Linked DNA regions of Cricetulus griseus. The protein of the gene in region 6 interacts with the protein of the main gene of each other region in a biochemical or structural test. Links are inferred from orthologs where the notes say so. Each region holds a gene or a part of one and is shown on either strand. Other genes may lie near its edges.

Evidence for each region.
Region 1: of the proteins of H1-5 (region 6) and Prkcd, one has a biochemical effect on the other in vitro, tested with the Homo sapiens proteins (2 studies listed by BioGRID). The link is inferred for Cricetulus griseus from reciprocal best matches to the Homo sapiens genes H1-5 and PRKCD.
Region 2: of the proteins of H1-5 (region 6) and Ccna1, one has a biochemical effect on the other in vitro, tested with the Homo sapiens proteins (2 studies listed by BioGRID). The link is inferred for Cricetulus griseus from reciprocal best matches to the Homo sapiens genes H1-5 and CCNA1.
Region 3: the proteins of H1-5 (region 6) and histone PARylation factor 1 form a complex in vitro, tested with the Homo sapiens proteins (2 studies listed by BioGRID). The link is inferred for Cricetulus griseus from reciprocal best matches to the Homo sapiens genes H1-5 and HPF1.
Region 4: of the proteins of H1-5 (region 6) and Ccnb1, one has a biochemical effect on the other in vitro, tested with the Homo sapiens proteins (2 studies listed by BioGRID). The link is inferred for Cricetulus griseus from reciprocal best matches to the Homo sapiens genes H1-5 and CCNB1.
Region 5: of the proteins of H1-5 (region 6) and Prkca, one has a biochemical effect on the other in vitro, tested with the Homo sapiens proteins (2 studies listed by BioGRID). The link is inferred for Cricetulus griseus from reciprocal best matches to the Homo sapiens genes H1-5 and PRKCA.
Region 7: of the proteins of H1-5 (region 6) and Ccna2, one has a biochemical effect on the other in vitro, tested with the Homo sapiens proteins (2 studies listed by BioGRID). The link is inferred for Cricetulus griseus from reciprocal best matches to the Homo sapiens genes H1-5 and CCNA2.

Annotation. Positions count from the first base shown.
Region 1 is NW_023276807.1:189,104,119-189,108,927, reverse strand, and holds the start of Prkcd (protein kinase C delta type), read right to left. Parts: upstream 3,155-4,809; 5' UTR 2,921-3,154; intron 1-2,920.
Region 2 is NW_023276806.1:96,102,252-96,107,245, forward strand, and holds the start of Ccna1 (cyclin-A1), read left to right. Parts: upstream 1-1,777; coding exon 1,778-1,942; intron 1,943-4,994. UniProt on the Homo sapiens protein: May be involved in the control of the cell cycle at the G1/S (start) and G2/M (mitosis) transitions. May primarily function in the control of the germline meiotic cell cycle and additionally in the control of mitotic cell cycle in some somatic cells.
Region 3 is NW_023276806.1:238,645,106-238,650,024, reverse strand, and holds the start of histone PARylation factor 1, read right to left. Parts: upstream 2,951-4,919; coding exon 2,933-2,950; intron 2,669-2,932; coding exon 2,509-2,668; intron 1,023-2,508; coding exon 833-1,022; intron 1-832. UniProt on the Homo sapiens protein: Cofactor for serine ADP-ribosylation that confers serine specificity on PARP1 and PARP2 and plays a key role in DNA damage response.
Region 4 is NC_048595.1:319,289,075-319,292,306, reverse strand, and holds part of Ccnb1 (G2/mitotic-specific cyclin-B1), read left to right. Parts: intron 1-367; coding exon 368-550; intron 551-2,009; coding exon 2,010-2,168; intron 2,169-2,358; coding exon 2,359-2,595; intron 2,596-2,835; coding exon 2,836-2,976; intron 2,977-3,232. UniProt on the Homo sapiens protein: Essential for the control of the cell cycle at the G2/M (mitosis) transition.
Region 5 is NC_048600.1:120,914,177-120,918,423, forward strand, and holds part of Prkca (protein kinase C alpha type), read right to left. Parts: intron 2,742-4,247; coding exon 2,634-2,741; intron 621-2,633; coding exon 480-620; intron 1-479. UniProt on the Homo sapiens protein: Calcium-activated, phospholipid- and diacylglycerol (DAG)-dependent serine/threonine-protein kinase that is involved in positive and negative regulation of cell proliferation, apoptosis, differentiation, migration and adhesion, tumorigenesis, cardiac hypertrophy, angiogenesis, platelet function and inflammation, by directly phosphorylating targets such as RAF1, BCL2, CSPG4, TNNT2/CTNT, or activating signaling cascade involving MAPK1/3 (ERK1/2) and RAP1GAP.
Region 6 is NC_048596.1:244,135,466-244,138,881, forward strand, and holds H1-5 (histone H1.5), read right to left. Parts: upstream 1,873-3,416; 5' UTR 1,801-1,872; coding exon 1,132-1,800; 3' UTR 1,071-1,131; downstream 1-1,070. UniProt on the Homo sapiens protein: Histone H1 protein binds to linker DNA between nucleosomes forming the macromolecular structure known as the chromatin fiber. Histones H1 are necessary for the condensation of nucleosome chains into higher-order structured fibers.
Region 7 is NW_023276806.1:113,102,706-113,105,739, reverse strand, and holds the end of Ccna2 (cyclin-A2), read right to left. Parts: intron 2,903-3,034; coding exon 2,789-2,902; intron 2,537-2,788; coding exon 2,403-2,536; intron 2,154-2,402; coding exon 2,105-2,153; 3' UTR 1,377-2,104; coding exon of another isoform or gene 1,295-1,376; 3' UTR 1,149-1,294; coding exon of another isoform or gene 1,070-1,148; 3' UTR 744-1,069; downstream 1-743. Other genes in the region: Exosc9 (exosome complex component RRP45), read left to right, coding at 1,070-1,148, 1,295-1,376. UniProt on the Homo sapiens protein: Cyclin which controls both the G1/S and the G2/M transition phases of the cell cycle. Functions through the formation of specific serine/threonine protein kinase holoenzyme complexes with the cyclin-dependent protein kinases CDK1 or CDK2.

The DNA.
Region 1 (4,809 bases), on a different chromosome or scaffold from region 6:
AAAAAAGCACAAGAGGAGAACATAATAGATAGATAAGGATCCATCTTAGTCCTTGTTTTGTAGTTTCAGGTGATTCTCACATTACTATTGCACCATTATACAGTTGAAAAAACCGAGGCATAGAGACATTCTGAACAGGAGGAACAGCAAAAGCAGCAAGGGGCCCTGGCCTAGGTATTCTGGCATTTCCACTGCAAGCTAGGTTTTCTCAAAAGGTCCCACACCCTCACTGGAGGGTGGTAGTGCACACCTTTAATCCCAGCACTTAGGAAGCAGAGGTAGGTGGACTCTGAGTTCAAGGCCAGCCTGGTCTACAAAGTGAGTTCCAGGACAGCCAGGGCTGTTACACAGAGAAACCCAGTCTCCAAACAGCAACAAAGTCCTACTGCCCCAGACCCCATCACTACTTCCTAGAGGCAGCAGCAGCCTTAGGCTTTATCTTTCCATCAGTACTTATTTCCAGTTTAAATTTAAACTCCAATTAGCTGTGCCAGATAAATGGTGTCAGAACCCTGCAATAATCACAGTTCTGAGTCACCCCCCACTCACTCCATCATAGCTACAGAGACTGGGGTCCCATTGGGGTGGAGCTGAGCAGGACTGTGTCCTGGCACTCTGTGAAGAATCCTCCTTCCTGCAAGCAGCCTAGTCAGGGAGACAGGAAGAAGCAAACAACACATCATGTGGGAAATATTGTTGGGAACTATCTGGGTTTTCATTCATCCCAGATTCCAGAAGAATGGGACATACAGCCAGGAACAGCTTCACTCTCAGTGTGAGCCAAGACTGCTGAAGAGCCATTGATCCCTAAGTTCTTGCTTGCTCTGTTCCACAAAGGAAACTCAGCACACAGAGACCTGGCGTAGGACTCCTGCTCTTAAAGGGTATGATAAGTATTTGAACCCATGGCTTTTATGGTTCAGAATTTGAAGTCTTGATCAGACCACTGCAGCCCCAGGACTTGCCTCCAGCTTTCTCCATGTCTCCAGAGCACACGCCCAGCACCTCCTGTTCTCCCATAAGCTCTCACAGCTAGGCACTTACCTTCCCTCCTAGTCCTATCACCAAAGACTCTATAACACCCCTCCTGTTGCTGTCACCCAAACTCAGCCACTGTTACCCACAACCACTGTCACTCAACACACACCTGCAGTTTCATACAGTCAGACTGTGAGTCTCTTACCAGTCATACTCTCCCCCTACAGCTCCATATTGCCAGTGTCACCTTCAGCACAGTCTTGTCATATACCAGAGCCTTTACAACATCATACAGAGATACTGTCACTGAGGACACACCACACACACACACACACACACACACACACACACACACACACACAGCCGCCCTCTGCTGGGCTATCCACCACACCCCAGGCTAATCCATAGCAGGAACGAGGAAACCCAAGGACTAGTCCCCTCCCTCTGCCTGGTCACAGAAGATCAGCAGCAGAGGAAGAAGAATCAAACATGATTGTATGCACTCTTACACAAAAACACACTCACACACAAGCCTTGTAGGTTGGCACGCCAATAGTGTGGGCTCCCACAATTCAAGGATCTAATATACCCACGGCCAGATAGTCACCATTACATGGTGCACACAGGAGTTTCGGGGCACACAGAGATATATATACATGAGCAAGCAAAGACACATATCACAAAATATAGAGGGGAGACAAATGACAATTCACCAAGACATGATGCATGAAGTTGCAAGGGCCACACATGGAGCCTCAGGACACTCAGACAGTCATATACACACAAGCAAGTCACACGTGGAAAAGGACACATTCACAGGGAAAGTCCCACAGTGACAAACAAAATACAAGGAGACAAGATACACAACATACCCACAGGCCTAGACATAGATGCTCCAGCAACAGAAGCCAAGATCCTCCAAGGGCCCGGGGTAGGGACCAGAGGAAAAAGATCTCCTCCACTCATTCTAAAGGTTTAAGCAGAGTGCGTAGTGGGGCTCTCTTCCCTCCCCTCCACTATATACCGAGGGAGTTGGGGAAGTGGGAACAGTTGTGGTGGTGCTTTTGGCCTCCCTCTCCACTGCCAGCCAGCAGGGCAGGGAACTCCCATCACTGCTGCCCTCATCACCTTACTGGGCCCCCAGAGGGAGTGGCGTCTCTCCAGTGGGACCGAGACTGACAGCACCAGGCAGAGGCTACCGGGAGAGGGGGCTCAGAGGGGCGGAGAGGACAGGGAAATGGTAGAGACTGAAGCCACGCCCAGCCCAGAGACAGATGGAAAACCAAGAAAGACACCGAGACAGAAAGAGATAGGGCGAGGAGGCGGCGCCGCGCCGGTCTGCCCGCCTGGGATCCAGGCGCAGGAGGATAGGACGACGGGCGCCTCGGCCTCCGCCCCGTGGTGGAAAGGACCAGAGGCTGGACTGGCAGGGGCCTTCGAGCGTGGGCCGGGGGTGCGGCTCCGAGAGGAATGGGTCGAGGGGGCGGCGGGCCTGGTGGGGGTGGGGAGACGGAGTACTGGACGGCGAGGGGCAAGCGGACTTGGCCTGGAAACGGAGGACCAGGCAAGAGGAGATGAGGACCGACGAACGTGCAGAGGCCCCCAGGGAGATTCGGGAGGATCGCAGAGACCCTCGGTGGGACTGAAGACACCCAGGATGGTAAAGATGACGGGAACAGTAGGGTCTGGGCTCCCGCCGTCGAAGAGAGAGTCAGACCAATCAGGGGACCGAAGCACCGGCGGGTCCCCGTGCTCGGTGGGACTTAGGCTGCTCATGGCTCAGTTTCTCAGTTTAAGAACCGGGAACCGGGGAAGGAAGAGGGGGACGGAAGACGAGGAGGGAAGAGGGGAAGGAAAAGAGGCCACGGGAGAGAGAAGAGAAAAAGGCCGCTGCGCCCTCGAGTTAGCTGGGACCCCGCGCCCGGGCCCAGTTCTCACTCACCTCCGGACGCAGGGCCAGGCGCCAGGGGTCCCGGCGGGCCGGGGTCTGTCTCGTGGCGCGGCTCTCCCCGAAGCGCGTGGACGGGGAGGTCAGCACGGGCCTGATCAGGATGGGTCCGGCGGCTAGTGGGGACCGCTCGGGTCCCGGCACGGAGGGTAGATGTCCAGGGGCCGCTCGCAGGATCCTGCGACCGCCGCCTCCTGCTCTGGCGCCGCGGCACACGGAAGTGCAAGGGGGCGGGGCTGCGCGACCTCACCCAGGTGCCGGCCCCAGCCCCGCCCTCACTCAGGACCCGCCCCAGGGCGCCCGCCCCTTCGAAGCTCCGCCCTCGAGAGCTGAGGGTCCGGCGCGTCTCAGCCTCTTTTAGGGCAAGTCTCGGTTCCCTGGTCTCTTAGCTCTCCCTAGCTCTCGTCGTGCCTCGCCTGCCAGTGGCACGCAAGCCATCTCATCTCAGGGATTGTTTTATGGAGGAGGACTCTGAGGCCAAGGTGGGGGGCACAGCACACACAATGGAGCCTGGGAGGCACCGCCGGGGGTTCCCCATCTACTCGCGCCTACGCCCGGGACTCCCCACTGGCCAGCTGGCCCGCCTCGCTGCCTGGCCTCACTCCTCTTCCTGCTGGCTTGAGCCAGGCTGTGAACGAACGGGCTCAGTGCCCGCCGCCAGGCCTGCCGATCCCAGCACTGCCCGAGAGAAGGAGCTGGGAGGTCTCCAAGGGCGAAAGGATCTAGCCAGTCTGTCTCGGCGCTGTTCCTCAGACAGTTCTGGGAATTGCCTCTATCCCCATCTTCTCAGTCTCTCCTGTGCCCACGGTCCAGAGCTCCCCTCGATTCAATCAGGCGCATAAGCTTTCTTTCCAGAAGAGGAACTTGATCATCAGCCGTATGTAACAACTCATTCATTCGTTCGTTCATTAAGGGTCCCCTGGGCCCAAAGTCTGAGCACCGAATGGGAGCCAGGAATCCATTTTTGCTGTCCCCAAAGCCCAGAGCACTAAGATGTTACATTATACTTACCCAAAGAAATGACTTCCCGGGCTGGGCCTGTAAGTCAGATGATAGAGTGTTTGCCTAACTTGCAGAAAGCCTGTGTTTGATCCCCACCACAGAGAAAACCACAGATGGAGGATCAGAATGATGCTTCAGTACTCAGGAGGCAAAGGCAGGAAACGAGTTCAAGTTCAGCCGTAGCTACATAGCAAGTGGAGCCAGACTGGGCATGTAAGACCCTGTCTCAAAAAACAAAAACAAAACAAAATGAGATGACCCTTCCAGGAAAAATATAAGATCTCCTGAGTAAATTGGAAGTGTGTGGGGAGGATGGAAGGGGAGAGGGGAGTAAGAAAGGGGAGTGAGGAAGAAATGTATAGCTCAAAAAAAAAAAAAAAAAAAAAGGTAACCCTTACCAGGAGGCTAAAAAAGGCTTCTAGGATCCTAAGGTCCTTGACCTCCTTCTGAGGGACCACCAAGAAGGAATAAAAGTCTAGACAGCTCTTTGAAGCTTAAGAGAAGTGGACCCCCCAGTGGAAGACTGAGACTTCCAGGGATAGGGGAACCTGACAGAGATGTAGGTCTCCAAACCTTATTTTAAATGCACATTGGGTATTGGGCTAGGGAGAGAAAAATCACAATGACTTGTCCTGCTCTAGACAGAGGAAGTTCCCTGATCCCTCTACCCTGAAAGAAAGCGCCCAGTTTGAAGATTAGTATTTAAGTCCCCAGCCCTGAAAACTGTCACCATCCCATGACATTGGATTCTTCCCAGAAAGCTGACTCTGGCCAAGTTGGATTTCTTCTGGAAAGACAGCCACTTTCTCCTCACATTATGCTTTTATTACGCTGTCTCCTGGGTCACTTGCTACTAACATTCTCTACCTGTCTTGGCTGTG
Region 2 (4,994 bases), on a different chromosome or scaffold from region 6:
TGCACTTCTGCATCCAGTGCGGATTGCTGGAATCCTTTGCAAAGTCGTCTTCATTTGAGTGCACACTTTTCCTTGGGTCTTCTGCTTTGGTTGAGACCTTTCACATTAGCTAACCCTTTCTCTCGTGAACACAACAGTTACTACATTTAGGCGCCTTTAGACCTTTGCTTAAACTTCGAATAAAGTTAACCAATTCGGTTTGCTGATTGCCCGTCGCCTCCGCGGGTGCCAGGGTTTCCAAGATTCAAGAACTGGTTGTACCCCCACTAGCACCCCCACCCCCAGTCTTGGGACTTTCCCTTCACACGTGGCCAGGTCACCGGCCCAATGACCCCAGCTCGGAATCTGTCCTTGTGCCCCTTCAACACCCAAGGCCCAGCACCTCTCCGCGTTCCTTCCTCTTCCCGGTGCCACCGGGTGCCCATGGGGAAGATCTCTCCCGGGTACCTGCGGCACCGCGAGTTACCCTAGAGCCCCCAATCTCTCCCAGCTCTCCTTGCCACACTCGAGGCACCTGGCCATCCTGGTGGGTAGAGATGAGGTTCAGTCCGCCGCCGCCCACGGTCGGGAGCCCTCAAGGCAGGCGCCCTGGAGAAGGAGGTGAGGAAGGGGAGCGAGCCGCGCCCTCGGGCCGACTTGGAGGGCTCCGCGGCCGCAGCCCGAGGGCCCCGCGTCGCTCTCCCGAGCCAGGGTTCTCGGGAGCAGGCCGCGCAGGAGACGTTGGAGGGAGGGGTTCGTGGCTGTTGGGGGAACCGGCTCCTGGGGAACAGTCCCTTCCAGGGTGGGTACTGTGGGCAGGCCGTCGTCCGCCCTCGCAGGGGACGCCGGCCAGACGGGCGCGAGTGGCGACGTGCAGTGCGGTGCGCCCAGTACGCCCAGCTTTGCGGCTCAGGAGCCCCGGGTTGCGCGGTTAGCCGCGCCCGGTAGCGCTCCGGGGCCAAGCATCAGCCGGCGGCGCTGCAGGTGAGCGGTCGCCAGGGCGATGAGGACCCGGGCGCACGCCCGCCGCGGTTGGCATGGAAGCGGCTCGGAGGGGCCCGGACTGGTCGCTGATTGGCTGGTTCAACAGACGCGGCTGGGTCGAAAGTGCTCAGTGGCGAGCGCAGCAGCCCTAGCCGCTGGAGCCGGCGCCCCTGGAATCTCTCCACTCCGGGTCCCCTCCCTTCACGCCAGGCCCCGCCCGCCCGGCCCCGGCCTGGGTGCGCTGGCTAATCGCCTCAGAAGGAGAAGAACCTGAGAATCAGGGCCGCCTGGGGTTCCCAAGCAGGTTTGGGGGCCTTCCTCTGGTGAGAAGCACTTGCTTGTCACTTGGGAAGGGGAATCATTTGTCCACAGTTCGAGTTTCAGGGTTTAGTCTGAGATGAGGGAAGGTGGGGAGGAAAATCAGGGATCCTAGGCAACACCTCTCTATCCCCCCCCCCCCCGCCCAAACAACACAAATCAGTGTGGGCTGAGAATCCCGATGTGGAGTTTGGACAGACAGCCCCCCCTCCCTCCCTCCCTTCCCTCCCTCCCACTCTCTCTCTCATTGCAACCTTCAGCCTGGGGTCAGATTAAAGCCTATTCAACCAGTGTTTGGTTGTGAGTTGCTCTGATGCCTGCTGCTGTGGCTCGCTTCGGAAACGCTGACCTTAATGTTTGTTGAGAAGTTGAGAAATGGGTGGTAACTCCGCCGGGGCTTGGCATTCTCTGCATTCCTGGGTCCCCAGGTTGAGAGGGTTGACTAACTGTCTCCTTCTCTTTCCCTGGATAGCAGCAGGTTGTGGCTTGCTAGGCAATGCGTCGCCACAGCTCCAAGAGTGGAGTCGCTCTCCCTCCAGTGGGCCAAGGTCCCGAGGCTTGTCAAATGCTCACTAGAGCTCAGCTCGGCCAGGATCCCCCACAGAGAACCGTGCTAGGGGTGTTGACTGAAAATGAGCAGTACAGGAGGACCTGTGGCCAGGTAATGACCCAGGAGCATCAGGGAAGATGCTGTGGAGAAGGCCTGCCTGCCTGCGGCAATGTGCATGTCTGAGTGTGTGTGTGTGTGTGTGTGTGTGTGTGTGTGTGTGTGTGTGTGTGTGTGTGTGTGTGTGTGTGTGTTTCCCCCTATATCAAAGAAGTAAATCTTAGAGACTGTTTGGGTTAGGAATGTGTTAAGTGACTTAAGAGTTAGTCAGAAGGGAGATGCGATTACTTTGATCTGTAGTGCAGGGGTGGGGGTGGGGTTGGGAGGAACCTCTGGGCCAGAAAGTTGTATGGATGAGCCAGGCCACCAGAAATCAATCAATGGAGACAGCGTGTGTACCAGGATACACTAGTTTATCTTTTAAGAGAAAGGTGGCATCCAGAGCAAACATATCTACCACTACAGACAATGGCACTGAGATGCTACCAGTCTGCTCTTAACTGACTGTATAACTGGCACCGAAGACAGCATCAAATTCAGACGTTTAAATGTAGAGGAGAGATTTGAATCTGCAGCAGTGACTTTTTGAGATAGAAAATAAAGTGTCCTCTAAGCCTGTTATTAGATAAACCCTTGTAACGAGGCCTCAATTCTGTATTACAAGTCTGTGGAACCCAATGGTTACAAGAGTCCAGTCCAGCAGGTGGGTGGGTTTTAAGGGCAGGTTAGAGATGGTTTATCCCTCCCACCTGTTACAGTAGAGGCTCATTCAGAGACCCTTCATCTACTGCCTCTTCAAGTCCTCTGCTCTTGGGTCTGACTGTATCCATTGGTGGCAGTGATCCCCCAGATGATCCCTTTAATGCTCTGAGTCAAGCCAAGTGAAAATAGTTTTAACAAAAATGGCTTAGCAATGTTTCACTTCTTTAAACTTGCCATCTGAGACCTGAATTTATGAATTAAAAGTGGTGTTTACATTGAATGTCCTTGTTTGAAATTCACACTCAGCTCTTGTGCTACCGGAGTTACTGCTTGGTGTCTCCTCGACACTCCATTCCCCTACACCTTCCATAGAAACCCACCTCAAGCCTGATTCCCTATTATTTGTTCTTTGGTTTCTATTTGGTTTTAAAATAATTTAATTCCTTCATTACTATGTATGTACATGTGTGCATATATGATGTGTGTTTGTGAGCATGCATGCCACAGCATTCATGTAGAGGTTGATGACAAGATTGGAAGCTCCTTCTGAGGTTTGAACTCAGGTCACTGGGCTTGATAACAAGAGTCTTTACCCTCTGAACCGTCTTGTTGCCTCAACCCTTAATTGTTCACAGCCCTGCTCCTTCAGAATAAAGAATAAGATGACTGTATCCTGCTTTCCCAAAAGAATGCTTCAGCCAGAACTTCACTCTTCCTCCCAACTCCAGGGAGTAGGGAGAGTCTAGGCCAAGCTGGCTTTGATGTGGTACATAGCTCTAAATGGCCTCAAATTCAGGACCCTCCTACCTCATCCATTCTAGTGCTACAATTACATGTTTGTTCACTTTGGGCCAGCAGCTAGAATCTTTACTGCTCCCCTGTGTTATTCCCTTCCTGCTCTGTGACTGGAACCCATGACCTCTTGGATTTCAAGGTACCTCTCTAACAATTCTTCTCTTTCTCCAATTTCTTATCTCTCTGAAGCAAATCCATACATGCATGGATATATGGAAATAGCTTCCCATCTTCAAACTTGTCCAGCCACACAGCTATCTCTGTGCAGCTACTGTCCCAGTTACAGCAAGATTTATTAGAAACTGTCTATCTTAATGGTATGGGCATTCCACCAGGGTGACAATGTGGGGATGACACTTTTCTGTGGTATTCCTACTGTCCAGAAGAGTGATGGGCCTGGCTAGACAAGCTTGGTGTGTTTGTTGGCTTGGCACTTTCTGTTTCTGAGTCTTCTCTCACTCAGTTTTGTCTTCCTTGATATATTGACACCTTTCACATAAGTGGCCATTCTTCCTTCTTTGAAACCATTTATTCTTGCTCAGTTTAGTAAAAAGTACTCTTTCTTGATGTGTTATGCAACACATTGCCTCTCCTCTGTCTCTTACACACACACACACACACACACACACACACACAACACACACACAGATACACACATACACACACACACACAGATACACACACACACACACACACACACACACACACACACACACACACGTAGAGCAGAACTCAAACCCAGCAGTAACATGAGTCATGGCTAGTTGTAACTTGCCTCATGGAATTTTTTCCTCTAACATTTTATTACAAATTGTTTTTCTTATTAAACATAAGTTTAACTTCCTTGATGAAAAGTAAATTCATGAAGTGACATATGAATTGGGAAGTGGTATCCAATAATAACTACCAAGATTAAGTATAAGCAAAATGTTCACAGTTGATGGTACTGGCATATCAAAGTCTAACTCCTAGGCCTGCTCTGGCTGCCACACATAACTCTCCTTAGACCACTGGTTGCCAGTGTTCACTATGACAGGGCCACTGTTGTTTCTGTTGTTCTCTCTGTAAGAATAAAGAAAAGAAATGATTTGAGAAAATTCCCCAAGAGTAATGATGATATACAAAAATATTTTCATACCATTTTAGAATGTTTTGTAGCACAGGGCTCCAAGGTCATGATGTTTTCCTGAATAACTGGGTAAGAAATGAAAGCTTTACGGGCATCTCCAATGGAAAGTTTGGCATTTAAACAGAGGACTCAGTAACTAAGGATCAAGAGTGATGCTGAGTTCTTGTAAAATACTGTAGTGCTCTAAATGTAAAGGACAATTTGCAATTTCCCCTAGAATATTGTAACTAATCAGTTTTCTAAGTGTATTACAGCTCTTCTTGTTTTTATAGTTGTGAATTCCCTTTAACACACATGTAATGAAGATGATGAATTTCAAGCAGAACTTTTCCCATATGACAAATGTAAACAAAATGAAAAGGGAAGTCATGTTCAGAGATTTGGTATTTGGAATTAGATAGTCAGAAAGTGAGAGAGTTTGCTCTAGCTTTCCCAAGCTACTGGTATGAGTGACATGGACTTCCATTGCTTACAGTGGAT
Region 3 (4,919 bases), on a different chromosome or scaffold from region 6:
TCACCTTAATTTTACAATTTATTACGGGGGGGGGGGGGGAACAAGAAGAAAAAGTGGAGTAAAAGCCAAAAATAAACAAGACAGATTATAAAAAAAATTGAAGAATCTTATTCATGTATATTTTATTTTAAAATTGAAGAAACCAGTAGATTCTTGGCTAAGGTTCTAGCAGCCAATTAGTGTCAAAACCAAGAACAAAATCCATCTGACCCCATTCTCAGCCCCACGAGTGTTCTGTACAGTACTTCTCTGTAGCCATGACTCATCTTTTCTTCTATTACTTCACTTTGACTTTACAACACAGGACTACTGCTACATGTGCACAAGCTATTTTTCACATTACCCTATCTGCTAACAGTTTACCTATCTGCGGGCATTCCCTTCATTCTCATAATATTCCTATCAAATATATGCTATTATCTCTGTAATTTTAAGAAACTGAGTCACAGAAAGACCACAGTCACCACTGACTGGCATACCCTCATCAAGATAATAAATGGCAGGACCAATCTTTTGAGTCCTTTGGCCCCTGGAAGTGCATGGTTTAAGTCAAACAACTGGTTTACATCATCTTATTTGGGCTTCAAACAAGCTCTTCTGATCCCCAAAGGACAAAACTTTATATTGGAAGAGAAAAAGAGATCAGGGAAGATTAATGTAAAGAGTTCACCAGCCTAGGCAGGCTACAGAGGTGAAGGATAGCCAGAACAATAGGTAAACCACAGAGCCACCATAAGAGGAAACAAGTCTTTCCTTGGGGATGCCAGTGAAGGGCTGGAAGACTCATTGATACCAAAGCAGCTGTATTTGAGAGAGAGAGATGATCTTTTACCTGAAATACCCCATGTGGTACTGAGTTTTATTATCTCCAATAATAATGGTCTGGAACTCAGGAGGGTCATAGTAAAACCTCCAGTGAAGATTACAGTTCAAGCCTGTGGATTTTGTCTTCATTTTATGTTTCCCAGCAAGGATATCATAGGGACCCACTAACCGAAGTCCAAGGCTTGTGGCAAGTGCATCTATAAGGAAAATAAGTTTACTCAGGCAACACTTTCTAGAGGCAAGTAGGAAATAATGCCTTTCATCACTTTTTTTTTTTTTCTCTTATTTTGAGACAGGGTTTTTCTGTGTAGCCCTGGCTGTTATGGAATTTACCGTGTAGACCAGGCTGGCCTCAAAATGAGAGGTTCACTTCCCCCTGCCTCCTGATTCCAAATAATTCTTAAGCAAGTTGTTTTAAAGAATGCTTTTAAAATCTGTAAAAGTGTTTTTGCTCAATGGAAGAATGTTTAACAGAAATGTGGCACTAAATTTAGAATTCCCTCTAAACCTACTACTGAAGTAGCTTAACATTTGAAACATTCCTGTCCCTCATGTAGCCCAAGCCAAGCTGCTCTGCATTCTTTTAGGCCTAAGAGCCACACATTTCCCTTGCCTCACTGCTATCCACTATTAGCTACAAATACACAGATTATGGGGGAGACAACATAGGTCAACGATAGAAAAAACCATTTTCTTTCCTTCTCCTCAGTGGGCACTCCAGGTTCTGTTGACTTTCAGCTACACTGTGGACCATAACACTCAATGACTCCATCTGTTTTCACAACCATGGGGGCAGAGTAAGAAAACCACAGTGCCATGAAGGCTGTGCAGATGTGCAAACTGATAATCTCACAGTGCCTGCAGCTTTTCTAGGAAGGATACAATCAAGCATTAAGCCCTCCACCCCTCAGTAAATATCCTTGAAGAAAATTCTTAGTTTACTTAGTCTATAAGACAAGTTTATGCAACTGCTAATTTTCCTTTACACGTACATGGAGGAATATCCTGAAACCGATTGCCTTTGCCAATAGGTGACAGTAGCATATTATAGCATTATGGTTTGAGTATGACGTTAAACTAAAAAGGCTCATGTACTGAAAGCATGGGCCCCAGCTAGTGACATTACTGAGAAGTGACCTGGCCAGTAGGAGGTAAGGTCTGGCCGGAGGAAGTGGTCAATGACTTGAAGGGTTCCATCCTATCCTATGATTCTTGCACCCTAATGTTCTTTGCTTTCTGTTTGCCAAGATGTACACAAGTTTCCCAACACATCCCTCTGGCATAACATATCACAGGCCCCCAAACAAGAAAGTCAACTAACCAGGGTCAGGAACCTTTAAAACCATGACTCCAAATAACTCTGTCTTCCTGCCAGGCTGTTTTTCTCAGGTCACAGCCATAAAAACTGACTACAGTTAAGTATTAATTTGTTTCTTTGACAACATAGCTCTCATTACAAACTGTGGGAATGTTCCTCTGTCTTCTTTTTTTGATATGATCTCACTGTGTAGCCCAGGCTGGCCTGAAACTCGTTAAACTCTCAAACCAGTGTCCTAATTTCGGAGACTGTAATAGGCATGTGTCACCATACCTGATTGCAATCCCCTTTCTCTATGAGTTGGTTCTGTCTTTCCTCCAGTGTCCTATCATCTCTTCCAGTCACAGAAGCACAAAGGAACTCACCAGCTGGCTTTTCAGGATCAAGGTCTTCACAGAACTTCCAGAAGTGATAGAAATCTTCAGGCAGGGAAAGCTTATAAAGGTCTTCGACTTCTTTTCGAAGGTCGCTGGAGACATCGGCTTCACAGGATTTACTTTTCTTCACTTCAACTGTCTTCTCACGCTGGAAATTGGCATATATAACTTTAGTTCTCCATAAGAAACCCCTAGCAACTCACCTTGCATACCAATTATCACCTATAGTTGGTTAGTTTCTATGAACTACATACATTTTTTCTAAAGATTTACTTTTATTATTGTGAATTATGTACATGTGTGTATGTCTGTGTTGGGGTTATGTGGCTACCTGTATTGGAGTTATATGATGTTGAGAGCTGCCCAACATATCAGGAACTGAACCTGGGTCCTCTGAAAGACCAATGCATACTCTTAACTGTTGAGCCATCTTTTGAGCACCATTTTAATATATGTTAAAAAATGACATTTATAAATAAAATCCTAGGAATTCTTTCATACAAAGTAGAAATAGTTTACATGGTGGTCAAGTAATACCTACACACAGCATGTCTTTAAATATGCTTCTCCATGGTAGCAGAAACACAAAAGAAAAATTTTAAAAATTGTCAAAAAGGCAGAATTTCATTACTCCATAATCAGCACTAAAGATGATTGCCTGGGCAAAGCCAACATGGGATATACAGTGAAACCATCTTAAAAAACAGCAAATAAAAAAAATGTACAATGGCACATATGTACAAAGAAGCCAGGATGAAACCAATTACTTTGTATTCTAACCACAATCATTGTGAACCTTCCATTTACAACTGGGGGCTTCCCTTTTAACACTCCAAACAAAATGAGGGGAGAGATGCTAAAGTTAATGAGAATAAACTCTGATCGAAAACCAACCACTTATTTCAGAAAAGGCTTTGTAATGCCAAGACTTGCTATTCTTTGCATCTTCCAGCACCCGTGCAACGTAAACAAGCTAGGCTTGAGGATGCTACTAGACAGCTGACTCATTCCTGCCATGGAAACATGCATTTGGAGTATATTATTCCCATCACAGTCCTCCTTTCAACCCAGACCTGGCTCTGAACAGAGGGTAACTGGACATATAACCCTCTCAGGGCTAGTGGCATCTAGTGGTGCAGAGGCTGGGGACAATGCTCAACACTGTACAATGCACAGGAGGGCTGCACTCAATGTCAATTATACTAGAGTTGAGAACTTTCACCTAAGTGTTTCTGATAATTATGTTTTCTCAGAGGCCCAGGTCTATTAATATGTATCAAAGTCTACCTGGTGTATTTACAAATCAAATGGCATGGTTGTTCACCATGGCACTGTCCTTAGGGATTTAAATGCCAACTGACAGGGGAATGGATAGTTACAGGGCTTTCAAACAATGGAGTACACTAAATAAAGGGGAGTATAGTTAGACAACAAGGCTCAATTATGAACTATTTGAAAGGAGTAGGTGTAGCCTTGTTAGAGGAAGTATGTCACTGGGGGTGGGCTTTGAGATTTCAAAAAGCCCATCCCAATCCTAGAGTCTCTCTTCCTGCTGCCCGTGAACGAGATGCAGAACATCCAGCTACTTTTCCAGCACCATGTCTGCCTGCACCCCACCACACTTCCAGCCCTGATGATAATGGACTAAACCTCTGAAACTGTAAGCTAGCCCCAATTAAATGTTTTATAAAAGTTATTATAGTCACAGTGTCTCTTTACAGCAATAAAACAAGATGTACCATAATAGCTTTTTAAAGAAAACAACAAACTCTAAAAGGCAAGTGAAAACTCAAATTCAGGGTGATAAAGTGACTAGAAGCAGCAGGTAGTTTAGGCAGAAAGGATAAGGAACATAGGTGAGTGGATGCAGAGATGTGGTAGTGTTTTATCTTCAAAGCTATTTTTTTAATTTAAATTTATTAAATACAATATATTTTGGTCACTTCCCCCACGCCCCCCCCCAACTCAACATGAGTCCCAAGGATTGAATTCAGGTCATCAGGATGGTGGTTAAGTGCTATTACCCACTGAGCCATCACATTGGACCTTGTTTACGACAGGGTAAACTGGTAGCCCAGGGTGGCCCTGAACTTGCAGTGTAGCTGATAATGACCCTGGAGTTTTGATCCCATCGCCTCTGCCTGACAAGTGTTGGGAATGTAAGTGTGTGCTAACACTCTGGCTTTTGAGTTGACTCCTGACTTAATTTCCAGCTGTCACCTGGGGCAAGCTACTTAACCTCTCTGTGCTTTGTAGTCTCATCTAAAGACATGGTAGTATTTGTTTTCATAGTTTTTCTTTTCTTTAATAAGGAATAGCTCTATTTCAAAATAAAACAGTCCTGGCAGATAATTGATGCCAGCTATTATTGCCTGCTATAAACACTCCACCAGATCATC
Region 4 (3,232 bases), on a different chromosome or scaffold from region 6:
TATTTTTCATATGTAGGGCAGGGGTTTGCACTTAAGTGCAATGCCCAAGGAGGGCAGAAGAGGGCATCATAACCTGGAGCAAGAATTTTGAGTTACCTGGTTCCTGCATAGAAATTAGACTCTAGCCCTTGGCAAAAACAAGTGTTTTTTACAGCTAAGCAAGCCATCTCTCCAGCCCAGCATTTACTTTGAATACTAATCATTTCCCAAAAGGAAATTTGAGAAAAAAGAAAATTTGAAATGCTTTTCCTTTAATGAAATTAATTTATTCAGAATGATTTCTTAAATTGAGGATACCAATACTGACCTTCCTTCCTGGACTGTAGCATGTGCTTCTCTTTGTTTGATGGGGTCTCTCTTTTTTAAGGTTGATAATCCCTCTCCAAGCCCAATGGAAACATCTGGATGTGCCCCTGCAGAAGAATACCTGTGTCAGGCTTTCTCTGATGTAATTCTTGCCGTGAGCGATGTGGATGCAGATGATGGCGCTGATCCAAACCTCTGTAGTGAATATGTGAAAGACATATATGCTTATCTCAGACAGCTGGAGGTCAGTATTGTTGTTACAATACGATTTTACTGAATTCAGCTAGGTTTATTAAGGAACTGTTTTTCTTTTGGTTTTTATGAGTCCAGGCTTCCCTGTGTACCCCTGACTGTCCTGGAACTGACTGTAGACCAGGCTGGTCTCAAAAAGTTGTGCACCACTAACTCAGCAATTAAAGATTTTTATCAACAGCACATTTGACATTTCTTGACAATAGATAACACTTGAAATTCTGTTTTGAAATGGAAATAAAGTCACTAACTCCGTGGGGTGGATTTGTCACGTTGAATACAGAATTTCTGTGTTGGGGAGATACTATTATGACTCTTCCTAAAGTAGACACACACATCACACATGGGGAAAGTCCCAAACTTGTGGTTGGAGGAGGAGGTAGATAAAGATGCTAAAGAACTTATAGCTGTCCCAACACAAGGGTTTTTTCTGATTTTTTTTTTTTTTTTGGTCAGTGTGCTTGTGCTTGGCAGGAAAACTATTACTTGTGCCCAAAAGGAGCACACTCAAAAAATTGAAGTGGTTGGTTTTGTCAACTTAGCCCAGTTGGATATTAAGGACATTAACGCTTTCACCTCTTTAAACAAGACAGTTCTTTAATGTAGTTTTATCAGATTTGCCACCTCCAATCCTAGGAACAAAATACAGCACTTTGTGCATGCTAAGAGGTGCTTTACCACTGAACTATATCTCCAGCGCGCTGTCTGCTTCAGTTACCACTCATTTACTCAGTCTCTTATCCTTTGTGACAGGGTGCATATGGGGGGCTCAGAGGACAACTTTCAAGAATTGGTTTTCCTTCCACCTTTAAATGGGTGGGATTGACTTAAGAGTCAACCATTTTGCTGCCATTCCTTTTGACGTAATTTATATTTCCTAAAGTAGTCCTCAATAGGATTATCTGTCCAAGCTTGCTGTCTACTTTGTAATTCTTGTCAATACTAAAAGGTTTTTTTTGTTGTATCCTAACTGCAGAACTGAATTTGGTAGTTAAACATAGTTGTTCTTAATTCCTTATTCTCTCTTTTTTATATTTGTACATATACATAGTGTTCTGCCTGCATGTATGCCCGCAGGCCAGAAGAGGGCACTAGATCTCATTATAGATGGTTGAGCTAGCATGCTGGGAATTGAACTCAGGACCTCTGGAAGATCAGCTAAATTCTAGCTGATATATAACTTAGTGATTAATTTTTTCTATATCACAAAGTGAAATTAGTAAAATCGATATTGATCTGAGATTATGACAGGTGTAAGTGTGGGCCTGCTTTCCACTGGTTAATTGAATGTCACAATATCTTAATATGAAAAGCCTGTCATGCTATTTTAATCCTTGCTTTCTTAATAAAGCTTTGCCATGGAGCTGTTTTATATTAGTTAATTGGTCTTTGTGGTCACAAATGGCGTATAGAGTGATGCTTCCAGGATAAATGACATTTTTCTTTTGCAGGAAGAACAATCAGTTAGACCAAGATATCTACTGGGCCGTGAAGTCACTGGAAACATGAGAGCCATCCTAATTGACTGGCTGATACAGGTTCAAATGAAATTTAGGCTGCTGCAAGAGACTATGTACATGACTGTTTCCATTATTGACCGGTTCATGCAGGTATGTGTAATTAAGTAATGAGAGTTCTTCATTCCCGGGTTCTAGAAGACTCTTGGAGGAGGGGGGAGTGGACACTGACAGTCAAACCCAGGGTCCCATTACATGGTAGGCAGGTATCTGTCTTTACAGGGAGATAAGGTGCCACCAGTTGAGATGTTCAAGTACATGTTCATTGACATTTCAATTGCAGGATAACTGTGTACCCAAGAAGATGCTGCAGCTAGTTGGTGTGACTGCCATGTTTATTGCAAGCAAATATGAAGAAATGTACCCTCCAGAAATAGGTGACTTCGCTTTTGTGACTAATAATACTTACACTAAGCACCAAATCAGACAGATGGAAATGAAGATTCTAAGAGTTCTAAACTTCAGTTTGGGTCGCCCTCTGCCTCTGCACTTCCTCCGTAGAGCCTCTAAGATTGGAGAGGTACACATTACTTGAAATTTTTATTTTGCTATATTAGAGAATACGGTAGATATATAAGTACATGGGAGAAGGATATGGCTGTTATTATTTCTAATCAGGTTGGATATTATATGGTTACTCTTAAAGCCTTCTGTGGACCATTGTATTTGAGAGTTTGTAGTCACAGATCGGGCTTTGTAAGTTAGCGCAAAAGCAAAACTGCAAAAGACGCTCAGTGGTATGTATGTGGATCTGTTTCAGGTTGACGTTGAACAGCATACTTTGGCCAAATACCTCATGGAGCTCACTATGTTGGACTATGACATGGTGCACTTTGCTCCTTCTCAGATTGCAGCTGGAGCTTTTTGCTTAGCACTGAAAATTCTTGACAACGGTGAATGGGTAAGCAGTCTCCAAACCAATTGTAAACAGCCTTTGAATGCACCATTTTTGCCCTTGTGGCCCTTCTGCTTCCTCAATAGGAGTAAATGAATGGTGGTGAAAATGTGGTGCCATCCGACTTAGAATGCTTCCATTCTTCAGGTTTTTCATCTTTCTGATAACACCCTTTTGGAGTCTGTCTGTTAATCCTTTCACACATGAAAGCTACACCAAGTGGTCTAAGACCCATACGCATTCTTCATGTACCAGATGCTGT
Region 5 (4,247 bases), on a different chromosome or scaffold from region 6:
GCAGCCACCCACCCCTCACGGTGGATGCAGAAGCCACTGTGGGAACTGTGTCCACACCCTGCCTGTGAGCTGGTGGAGATTTAGGTGTGCTTCAGGGTCCCATGAGGGGCAGGTTGTCGGGAGGCCTGTGGAGCAGGCAGATCTAGGGGTAAGCTAGCAACAGATTGAAGGCCCAAGTCCTGTCAAGGACCAGGGCAAAGCTCTACAGGTACAATATCCCCAGAGTCCAGGGCACAACCTGGTGGTCAATGGCTTGGGTGTTCTGTGGCCATTGTTAAGCAGGCAAGGGAGATTAAGAGTCTGTGCATCTCTCCTCTCTCTGTTCTCACTTTGAAAAGGCAGCAGAGCCCATGGCTGTGCACCACGGCTGGTGACTCGACTGTTTTCTTTACTCGGCCAAGGCCAGAGAAAGGGAGAGAGGGCCACACCCGGGATCAGGAACCCAGCGCAGGACACTGGCCTGCTTTTGTGGGACTCACCACTTTGGGCTTGAATGGTGGTTGGATTTCCCTGTTCTCCAGTTTTTCCCAGTCGATTCTCCTGAAGAAGGCGTGCTCTCTGACGTCCCGCTCTCCCTCAGGCCCGCAGCCCAGCCGCTTGGCAGGGTGTTTGGTCATGAGCTGGAGAGAAAGAGACAAAAAGTCAGTCTGATGACAGCAGCCTCCCAAGAGTCAGCACCTTCCCTGGCCAGCTCTGCCTCTGGGCATAGATGGTGCTGCTGTCTGAGAACACACTGGAAGCTCACTTGTGCTGTGGCAAGTGTGGCTTTTGTAGAATGATTTTCACAGTAAGGAAGCAGCTGGAAACAATGACCAAAATGGAATAAAAATTCAAACAGGCATCTCTAAGTATTGTGTGCTTTGAACCTGGCATTCTGTATGGGAATGGGGAAGCAGGCACTGGGGATATGGCTCAGTGGTAGGGAGCTTCCTTTACAGGGTGTAAAGTTCTAGGTCCAATCCTTAGCACTGCCAAAGGGGAAGGGAGGGAGGGAGGGCGAGGAGTAGCAAGAGATGTTCATGTTATTTACATGCAATCTGATAAAAAGTTAGGGGTCACTAAAATATCTTGTGTGATGAAAGTACTGCAGGCCAGCATCATTCGGGATGCTACAACAAGCATCGAATTCCTCCTCATTGCCCAGATCTAAATATCAGGCACATGGGTTAGGAAAACACGTGTTGCAGCCAAGACAGCAAGTGGTTCATTTCAAGGTATCTGATGCAGGACTCAGAGGGAGGTGCCAACCCTGGGCTCTTCTACAGCAAGAGACTCCTCAGCTGTCACGGGCACCAGGGCCTTGACCTTCAAACACACTAAATAGGAAACACCGGGTGTGGTACACTCTCTTGGTAAATTAAGAACAAGAATTTTGTGATTTTCAGAACTTGACCACTAAAAATGACTTAAATCACGGCCACCAGTTCCATCTGTAGCAATTCCCTGAAAGAAGAGAGTTGGCCCAGGACCCAGAGAGTTCAAAACAATTCCATTTATAACAGCCTCCAGCCAAGGGGGAAACAATGCAAGTGCCCTCCCGCATGAGCGGAATTCAGGGCTGGACTGTCTGATGTCCACACAGTGAAAACCATGCAGCAACATGGAAGGGAAACATGGCTATTTGGGCACTTTTACTACTGCCATGCTGCGCTGAAGAGCCAGGTCTGGGACACCCACTGAAGAGTCCCCTCTGTGCAAAGGCTGAGATAGGCAAGACCGGTATGTGCGGTTAACACTGATTATCTCGGGGTGGTGGGTAACAGCAACTGTAAGGGGAGAGAGGAAGGGCATTTGGGGTTCGGTGTCTCTTGACCAGGGTACAGTTACATATGCATCCATTTCATAAAAACCCATTGATCTGTCTGTGGATGGGCTATACCCATTTTTAAAATGTGTCTATCTTAAGAGAGAGAAAGGACAAACTGTGTCTCAGATGTGGCAATTAGTTAGGTGAATTAATTAATTAGTTAGGAGGCCAGATGTGAGAATTAGCACTCCCTGAGAGCCTGCGATGCATGTATGTGAATGTGGGTGGAAGGCAGAGGGTGTAGGTAGGAGTGTGTGCATGTGTGTAAAGGCCGATAACAGGTGTCGTTCTTCCTTGGAACACATGGACTGGAGTTATGCTGACTGGCCAGTGGGCTTAGGGGTCCACCTACCTTTACTTCAACTTGGCTGTTTTACATGGGTTCCGAGGACCGGACTCAAGTCTTTGTGCGTACATGGCAATCACTTTACTGACTGAGCTGTGCCCCAACCCTGTGAAATGTTAGGAAATGGACTAGGAACTGGAGTGCAGGAGAATAAGAAGATGAGACAAGGTGCTTGGACAGTACTGGAATCCAAGTCTGTTGCATCTCCTTGCATGTCACCGGATTGGGCAGCAGCATTCATTTGTGATAGTTCTGGGGTCTCTCTTAGGAGGCGGGAAAAGGAAGCCAGGCATGGCGGTGCATACCTGTAACCTCAGCACTTGGAAGGTTCAAGCAAGAGGATTGCAAGTTCAAGGCCAGCCTGGGCTACATAGGGAGTTCAGGACTGGCTGAGCTAAATAGCAAGACCCTGTCTCAAAAACATCAGGTATGGGAGGGGTATTGCCTCTACTGCCGGGGAGGAAACTCAGATGCACTCACTCCTTTGCAGATGGAGACAGCTTCTTTGGACAAGGATTTGGGGTAGGACACGTTGTGCTCCATTATAGACTGAAACAGTTCGTCCTCATCTTCACCATCAAATGGAGGCTGTTCCACACAAAGAGGAGAAGACAGAAAGGTTAATGCATTATCACCGCGCTTGAAGATCTGTGAGAAGAACTGGACCACATTTCCCCACACACCGCAGGTGGCAAGGTTAGCTCTGTGAAGGCGGAGATTGATTTGATGATCTGTAATTAGGCTGCTGGTTGTGCATTTCCCATTTTTTAAACCGTCCCTTTCATTATCTTGCCCTGAGCAGCCCCAAATAATCTTTAGGGAAAAATGTTTTGGAGTAATGCGTTTAGTGATTTGCAAATAAATTATAATTAATCCATTAATCTGGTAATTATGTGCTGAAAATCTAATTATGAACAAGTCAGGTTACAGATGGTTTTATGTTTAGAGGGTATCTGTGAGGGGTACGGGGAATGCTCTCTGCCTTTACTTGGGGGTGGAGGGAACTTCAGAACAGGGCAGAGAGGAACTGGAGCCCTTCTGATCTGACAAGACCCTGTCCTGCTTGGTGTCAGTGACAGGAGCTAGCTTCTGGATATGTCCTTTGTCCCTTCTAGAGGGCTTACAGTCACCATCCTGAGGTATGGAGGACTGGAGGTATCATGGAACATCATAGCTTTGAGGTCACATGACTTTGGGCCAGCATTCTACTCTACATCCCAGCTGGGTGCCTACACTCAAAGGGCTTATCTATTAGACACACCAGTTCCTATGATGGGGTTTCTGGCTGGTCCAGAGCCCAGCAGGTGGTACCCTGAAAGAGCTCAAGGAAGGGTACTTACAGCTGTTATCGAGGCAGAGGAACCTCTTGGGATGGGGATGGGGATGGGGTGTAAGAGATGCCAAGAAGCTGTCTGTGCCCAAGCTGCCCTTCAAGCATTTTCCTCATCACATCTTTAATCCTGGGGGCTCTATGCTCTCATTCTCACTCCAGTAGGATGTGCCCAGCAGGATTGGATTTATGGGAAATTCCTGAATATGCCCTTTGCTACAACTAGCCTTGAATTCAACATAAAGATGACAGGGGTACCCCTGGTAGAGCGCTTTGATGGGGAACTGGGCATGGGGACAGGGCAGGAGAGCCACTGCTCAAAGGGAAAGACACCCAGCCTATAAAGAGCTCTCCCTCAGGGCTGGGCATGGGGGAATAGAGGATTGGGGGAATGGAGGATGGGGGGAATGGAGGATTGGGTTGCTGGTACCACTTCATTTTCTTTCTTTTACTCTCTAAAGATAAACAAAGAGCCTCTTTTCCAGCTGCAAATGCCTGGCTTTGAAAAGCCTGTGTGATTTGGTGGCTGTGTGCAGGTGAGTGAGGAGAACTAGAATAAGTCTGGCTGTGCATTAGTCAGAGCCTTCCATGGTGTGTAGATGAAACACGACATCAGAGGGACCCACAAGGCAGGTCAGTGGGGGAGTGCAGCTGCAAATGCCCTGTGCCGCCCAAGAGTTACCGCGGTGCCCGGCCTGCTGTCTGAGACACCATCTTCTTGGCCTTATAACAGGCATCCTTCTCAGTACCTCTTAGCTGTCACC
Region 6 (3,416 bases):
GGCTCCAAAGCTACACAGAGAAACCCTATCTCGAAAAACCAATAAATAAATAAATAAATAAATAAATAAAGTACTTATCAAGGAACTTCAGTGTCTGTAAGCTACCAAGAACAAAGTAAACGCTCCATAAATCGTGTAAACGATCAGGGTGGGAGTGGCACACACCTTTAATCCCAGCACTCTGGAGGCAGACACAGGATGATGGCAAGTTCGAGGACAGCCTGGTCTAAAGACCTAGTTCCAGGACAAGCAAGGCGGTTACACATTGAAACCCTGTCTCGAAAATACAAACATAAAGTGTAAGTGACTTGAAATTTGGACACCCCTGGGACACTTGGACACGGCCTGATTGGCACATGGCATTCGAAGAGATGTCTGAGCTGGAGTGTAGCTGCTTCAGCACCTTGTACATATACTCTACTTATGGCTACGATTACACTAATGGTCCTTCTGCGACTGCGTCACCGCCTTCTTAAAAACTCCTTCCGGTAAGGAGCTGACTTCGAGGGCCCTAATACTAGGAAGAAAAGGCAACTTGATAAAGTGAAGGGTGCAGGGTAGTCTCTACACTAGCTGTAAATGAGTTGCGGCAATTGAGTGGAGTGACTCTCCAAACGTCATCGACTGGCTGTCCAATCGAGGCAAGGTTGGTACAAAACCATGATGCAACTGGGTTAGGAAATACGATTATGTACAGCCAATCAATTCGGCCTCTTTTCGCGCCGCGCGTTGATTTTTCAGTTATGAAAAGCTAACTGCAGTCTAAGTGAACTCTGGAGAGCTACATTCCTGACGAACAATGTGTTCACAGAACAGAGGGTAAAGATAGACGCGCGCAAAGGACAAGACCTACTAGTCCGGGATGGGAGTGGGAGGATTAGCCGGGGGGGGGGGGGGGAGCGCGCACAGTGAGGAAAAAGGCGGGTGCCCGCGTGGACATGGCAACTACTCAGCAGTACGTGAGGGCAGGAGTACTCCGTGCTAGTGTTACCTGAATTCCACTGTGGCACCCAGATGGTTCAGGTAGTTGGCGGGACTTAGAGGGTTAGGTCAGTGTACAGCTACATTCACCGAGCTCTCTGGGTGGCTCTGAAAAGAGCCTTTGGGGCTTGGTTGCTATTAGAAGCAAACCTACTTCTTTTTAGAAACAGCCTTCTTCGCCTTAGCAGCTTTAGGCTTAGCTGTCTTAGGCTTGGCAACTTTAGGCTTGGCTGCCTTTGGCTTCACAGCCTTGGGCTTTGCCGGGCTCTTGGCTGCCTTCTTAGGCTTAGCTGCCTTGGCCTTCTTAGGGCTCTTGGCCACTTTCTTCACTCCAGCGGCCGCAGGCTTCTTTGCTTTCTTTGGAGTTTTCTTCACGGTCTTCTTGGCCCCCGCAGCCTTCTTAGGCTTTTTCGGGGTGGAACCTGAAGGCTTCTTAGCCTTGGCGGCGCCTGCCTTCTTGGCTTTGGGCTTGGCCTCGCCGGAAGCCGCCTTCTTGTTGAGCTTGAAGGAGCCGGAGGCGCCGGTGCCCTTGGTCTGCACCAGGGTGCCCTTGCTCACCAGGCTCTTGAGCCCCAGCTTGATGCGGCTGTTGTTCTTCTCCACGTCGTAGCCACCTGCAGCCAAAGCCTTCTTGAGCGCGGCCAGGGACACGCCACTGCGCTCCTTAGAGGCAGACACAGCCTTGGTGATGAGCTCGGACACCGGGGGACCGGTGGCCTTGCGCTTCGTTGCGCCAGCCTTTTTGGTCGCCTTCTTCTTTGCGGGAGACTTCTCCACAGGAGCCGGAGCAGCAGTTTCGGCAGGAGCAGTTTCAGACATGGCGAGATTGTAAGCTACAATAAAAGCAAAGGAAAACTAACTCAAAGAGCAAATTTTGCTGTGCTCCTTAGCTCCGACTCCGGGCTTATATAAGCCAGAGCTGCGCTGTGATTGGTGGAGCGTCCAATCCACCGCCCTTTGGCCGCGCGAAACAAGGTTAGAATCCCAAATTGTGTTTGTTAGTCCCCAAATTTTTACTTACTACTGAAAATAAGGGCGCAGAAATTGGCAGTTTGGTGTTCCAAAGGAGAACAGCCTTCGGGTTCACATACCTATGTGTGCTTTTTTTGAATCACAATCAACAGACTAAAGATATTTTTTTTTAAATCCCTCCAGTGTTTCAGAAGAATCCTCAAAGGAGAGGACATCCTGATAGTTACTTGCATATTTCCATAAACGTATACGAAGTATGCAAGGAACATTACTTAAAAGGATTTGTCCACAAGTCCCGCCTTTAATTTTTGCAAGAGTAAAAGAAATATCTTTTTTGGTTTGGTCACAAACTTTGTTTCTGACTGTAGCAAATAACACAGGTTTGGCTGGCGGCAGACTGAAATTAAACATTTTAGATATTTCTCTTTAAAATAGGTCCGGCTTCTCGTACTTTCTGCACATTGCTATCTTTAATGGAGATTGAAAATTTTTCCATTGTGAAACTTTCTTCTTTGAAGTCGGGAGTTTAGAAATCATTGACTTTAAGAGTTGTGGCAATGGATTGGCAGGTAAGAGCAGCTACTGCTCTTGCAGGTCTGCTTTAGTTTCCCAGCACTCACAGGGCAGCTTGCAACTGTCTGTAACTCCAGCCCCGGAGTATCTCAGGCTTTCTTCTCAATTCTCCGGATTATCAGGCAAGTAAGTGGTGCACATATACACATGGAGACAAAACCTCATACACATAAAGCTTTAAAAAGTAACTCAAATATTTAAAAAGAAGTCACTACCTTCAGAGGCAAACCAATTTACTTCTAAGTCAAAATAAATTAGATATGGATCTGACTTGCTTTTGTTAGTTGCTAATGGTATCTGAAGACAGAAAATACTAACTAAAGATAATTTGCGTGAGGAAAATTTTAAAACTTTCAGGAAATTATTAGAGTGACCCTCCAGTCCTCAAATGTAGTTGGTTGAGATGACCAGTGAGAATTTCAGAACATTTAGCAAGCAGGACAATCAGGCATGCTCTTAAGTAGTCAATGCCAATATGGGTATTTTTTGTATATTGAGATGCCAAGATGGGCAATATTTTAGAATATTATTAAGGGCCTGGCAATTAGAGTTTCAAAGAATTTGAGAAAAATAAAGCAATGGAAAGAGAAAGGGGGTGGTGAAGTTTGCTCTAGGAGAGAAGGTGAAGCTTACTATGGTGAAAGGTAACACAGGCTGTGGTGCAGAAAGATGTAAAAAGGACTACATCCGATTCATTCAGATGTAAAATAAATCACAAGGATTCTGTTTTATTTTACAAAGAAAAAAAATGCAGTTTCCTTTGACAAAGACAATCTTCATCAAGGTTTTCAGGGTCACACCTATAATCCTACCAATTACTCAGTTGAGGCAAGATTGCAATCACAAGGTCATTCATTGCTACATATTCAGGTGACTACATTTAACACTGA
Region 7 (3,034 bases), on a different chromosome or scaffold from region 6:
GGTTTTCCTTAAGATCTCACTCCTGCAAGCTACTTTGTGTAGGTTGACTCAAACAACAAAAAGCTCATGATGTGGGCCAGAGTTTGGATCCCAGTACTCACACTGGATGGTTCACAACCCTCTGTATTCCAGCTCCAAGGGAACCAACACATCTTTTGGTCTGTGGAGACCAGCACACATGTATACTTACACAGATGCACACAAAATTGGCCACATTGGTAGCAGTGACTATCTTTAGGTTAGAAGTCCCTTGAAGGTCTAACTTGCTGTGGTCCAAAAGCCATAAAAAGAAATGTGTGCCAGGGTATGCATATAGATGTCAGAGAACTTGCTGGAGTTCCAGGAAGTTGCGACCTGCCATATGTAGGTGCTGGCAACTGAACTCAGGTTCTTTACCAGAGAAGTATGCACTCTGAACTAATGCATATTCTACTTGTCTTCATGAAAGAGAATCATTGCTTATAGACTTGGTTTTTGTTTTGACAGGGGAACAATGTTGGTTTAATTAGGTTAATGGGTGAGTTTTATACCATTCATTGTATCCAGTTGTCTTAACCATCAATAATGCTGTTACCTCACTATCACTGGCTAGTGTCTTTACACTTGTGTATATATCTATTTGCCTAAGATTTAGTAAGGCTCATGAACAGCTAAGATAACAAGGATGATGATGGTAGAGTTTTTCTAAAGCATGTGAATAAAGAATGCTGAGACAAGAATACACAGCCAAAATAGGCAAATGATTAATTTGCATGCTTTATTTACATATATATATATATAATTAATATTCAAGACAAAAATGGGCAAACAAAAGTTCTCTACATTTTTCATGGTTAGCCCTGGTAGTAATAAACTAGACCGTCCTGGCCTACGTGAGTCCTCTTAAAAAAAAAAAAAACAAAAACAAAAACTACAAAAAACATGTATTTTTTACAAAATTTTTGGAAAGAGTATGTTGTATATGCTGCCTCCAGGCAGCAGAGCTTGAGCTGTGTGTGCATGGAAATGGGAGCATTCAGACTAATGATACTAATAAGTAGTTACTTTTACTTTCGGTATTTTCTCCAAGGTGCCCCTATAGTGCTGTCAGATAGCGAAGAAGAAGAAATGATCATTTTGGAACCAGACAAGAACCCAAAGAAAATAAGGTAACAGATTTCTGGTTACTTTCAAATATACATAAAAATAGGACTTATGTCTGTAAAACAGGATGCCTTTGCCTTTAAAGTTCCAGCGATCCAGTCCAGGATTCAGTGGACATACACTGAGTTGTGGTATTACTTTATTTTCGCAGAGCTCAGACCACCAATGCAAAAGAAAAGGCACCAAGTAAAAGTCAAGTGAAAAGGAGGAAAAAGAAGAGAACTGCTAATTAAAGCTAAAATGATATTTTTGTGTGTATATATATATAAAACTACTAAAAGGATATTTATTCAGTGCTTTAACAGCACTGGGTATTTTTTTATTTGAAAATCCATTATAAGAGCTGAACTGTTTCATAAATTGTTTTGTCTGTAACATTATGCTTTGAATAAACTTTCTGTACAACTTTTCTGTTGCACAAAATCTTCCTAATCCATGTAAAATCTTATTTGTAAAAGTAGAACTGAATGAGTCTGGGGAGTCTCTGCTACACTGAAGAATCTAGTTTTTGCTTATTTTATGACCAAGTCAGCAATTGGTTCAGTTGCTTAGAATAACCAATGTCAGAATTTGAAGATCAGTTTCCCTGAAATATTTCAGTTTTAGGAAGCTTTTTCTACCCCCACTGAACAATAAACCAAGTTAGCCTTTCTAAGTGACATTATCAGTCTTATTTTTATCTCAAATTAACTTTGACTTGCAAAGATTTCCAAATCAATTTATTCTTATTATCCTGACAGTTGGCAGCACCAAATGTTAACAAACCAATTAAAATTAGCCAAATATCTAAGATAGACACATGTACAAAAGATATACAAATTAAAACCATTTAAAAAGCAATGGATACCATAATTTGTCCGTGGCTATACCATCTACATTGTGAAATGATTTGTGAGATTAAAACCCAAGACAAAACTGTACATTGTGAACTCCCATTTTAAACAAAGGTAGTCTTTCATTCTTACACATTTAGTGTCTCTGGTGGGTTGAGAAGAGAAACACCATGGTATCTGTTGAGCAGAAAAAAAATTTTTTTTTAGTAAATATTCATTGGGGAGATCACAGAACAGTTTATATGCCCCAGCCTAGGGAAATGCTATTTCTATTTGATTAGACTCAAAACGTGTGTTACCTTACCCATACCCTACCAGATGAAAGGGGGAAATGCCAGGTACAATAGCTTCCTAACACATTTACCTTACTGAGGCAGCTGTGGCAGATTACCATACCCTTTAAATGAATGAGAATCTGATTCTTACTTTGAATGTTTGTACTTTTCCCTTATTGACTGTTGAGCATGCTGTGCTGCTCTGAGGTAGGTCTGGTGAAGGTCCATGAGACAAGGTTTAAGACTTTCCAGGGTATATCCAGTCTTTTGTACCAATGACTCAGGCTACAGAGAAAAGACAACCATTGAGTTTTTAGTAACAGCACAGGGCATTGACCAATGAATGCACTTACAGTTGACCTAAGGTTGGCATTCATCTTTAACATGTTCAAGCTCATGCCATCTTTTATTTTGACTGTTTGACTACTTCCCCTGCTAGCAGCAGGCAGTTGGCCCAGATTCTTGAAGCAGAGCTTTCAAATTCAAGCTTACAGCTAAGCTTTCTGCCCAAACCAAACCAGCAACTGTAATACGTACCCAGCTTTGTCCTGTGACTGTATAGAGTGCTAAATGAAAGGCAGCTCCAGCAATGAGTGATGGCAAATACTTTAGGTATGGGTCAGCATCTATCAAACTTAATTCTCCCAAAAACTGAAATGAAAAAAACAAAAAACTATACTCATAAAAGCTCTAAGACTCAGACTTTGAATCTTTGCATCCTGACCCATTTTCCCTTTTTGTGATGCTCCCTGGTTCTGTATCAGCCCCAGGAAAATTATTCCA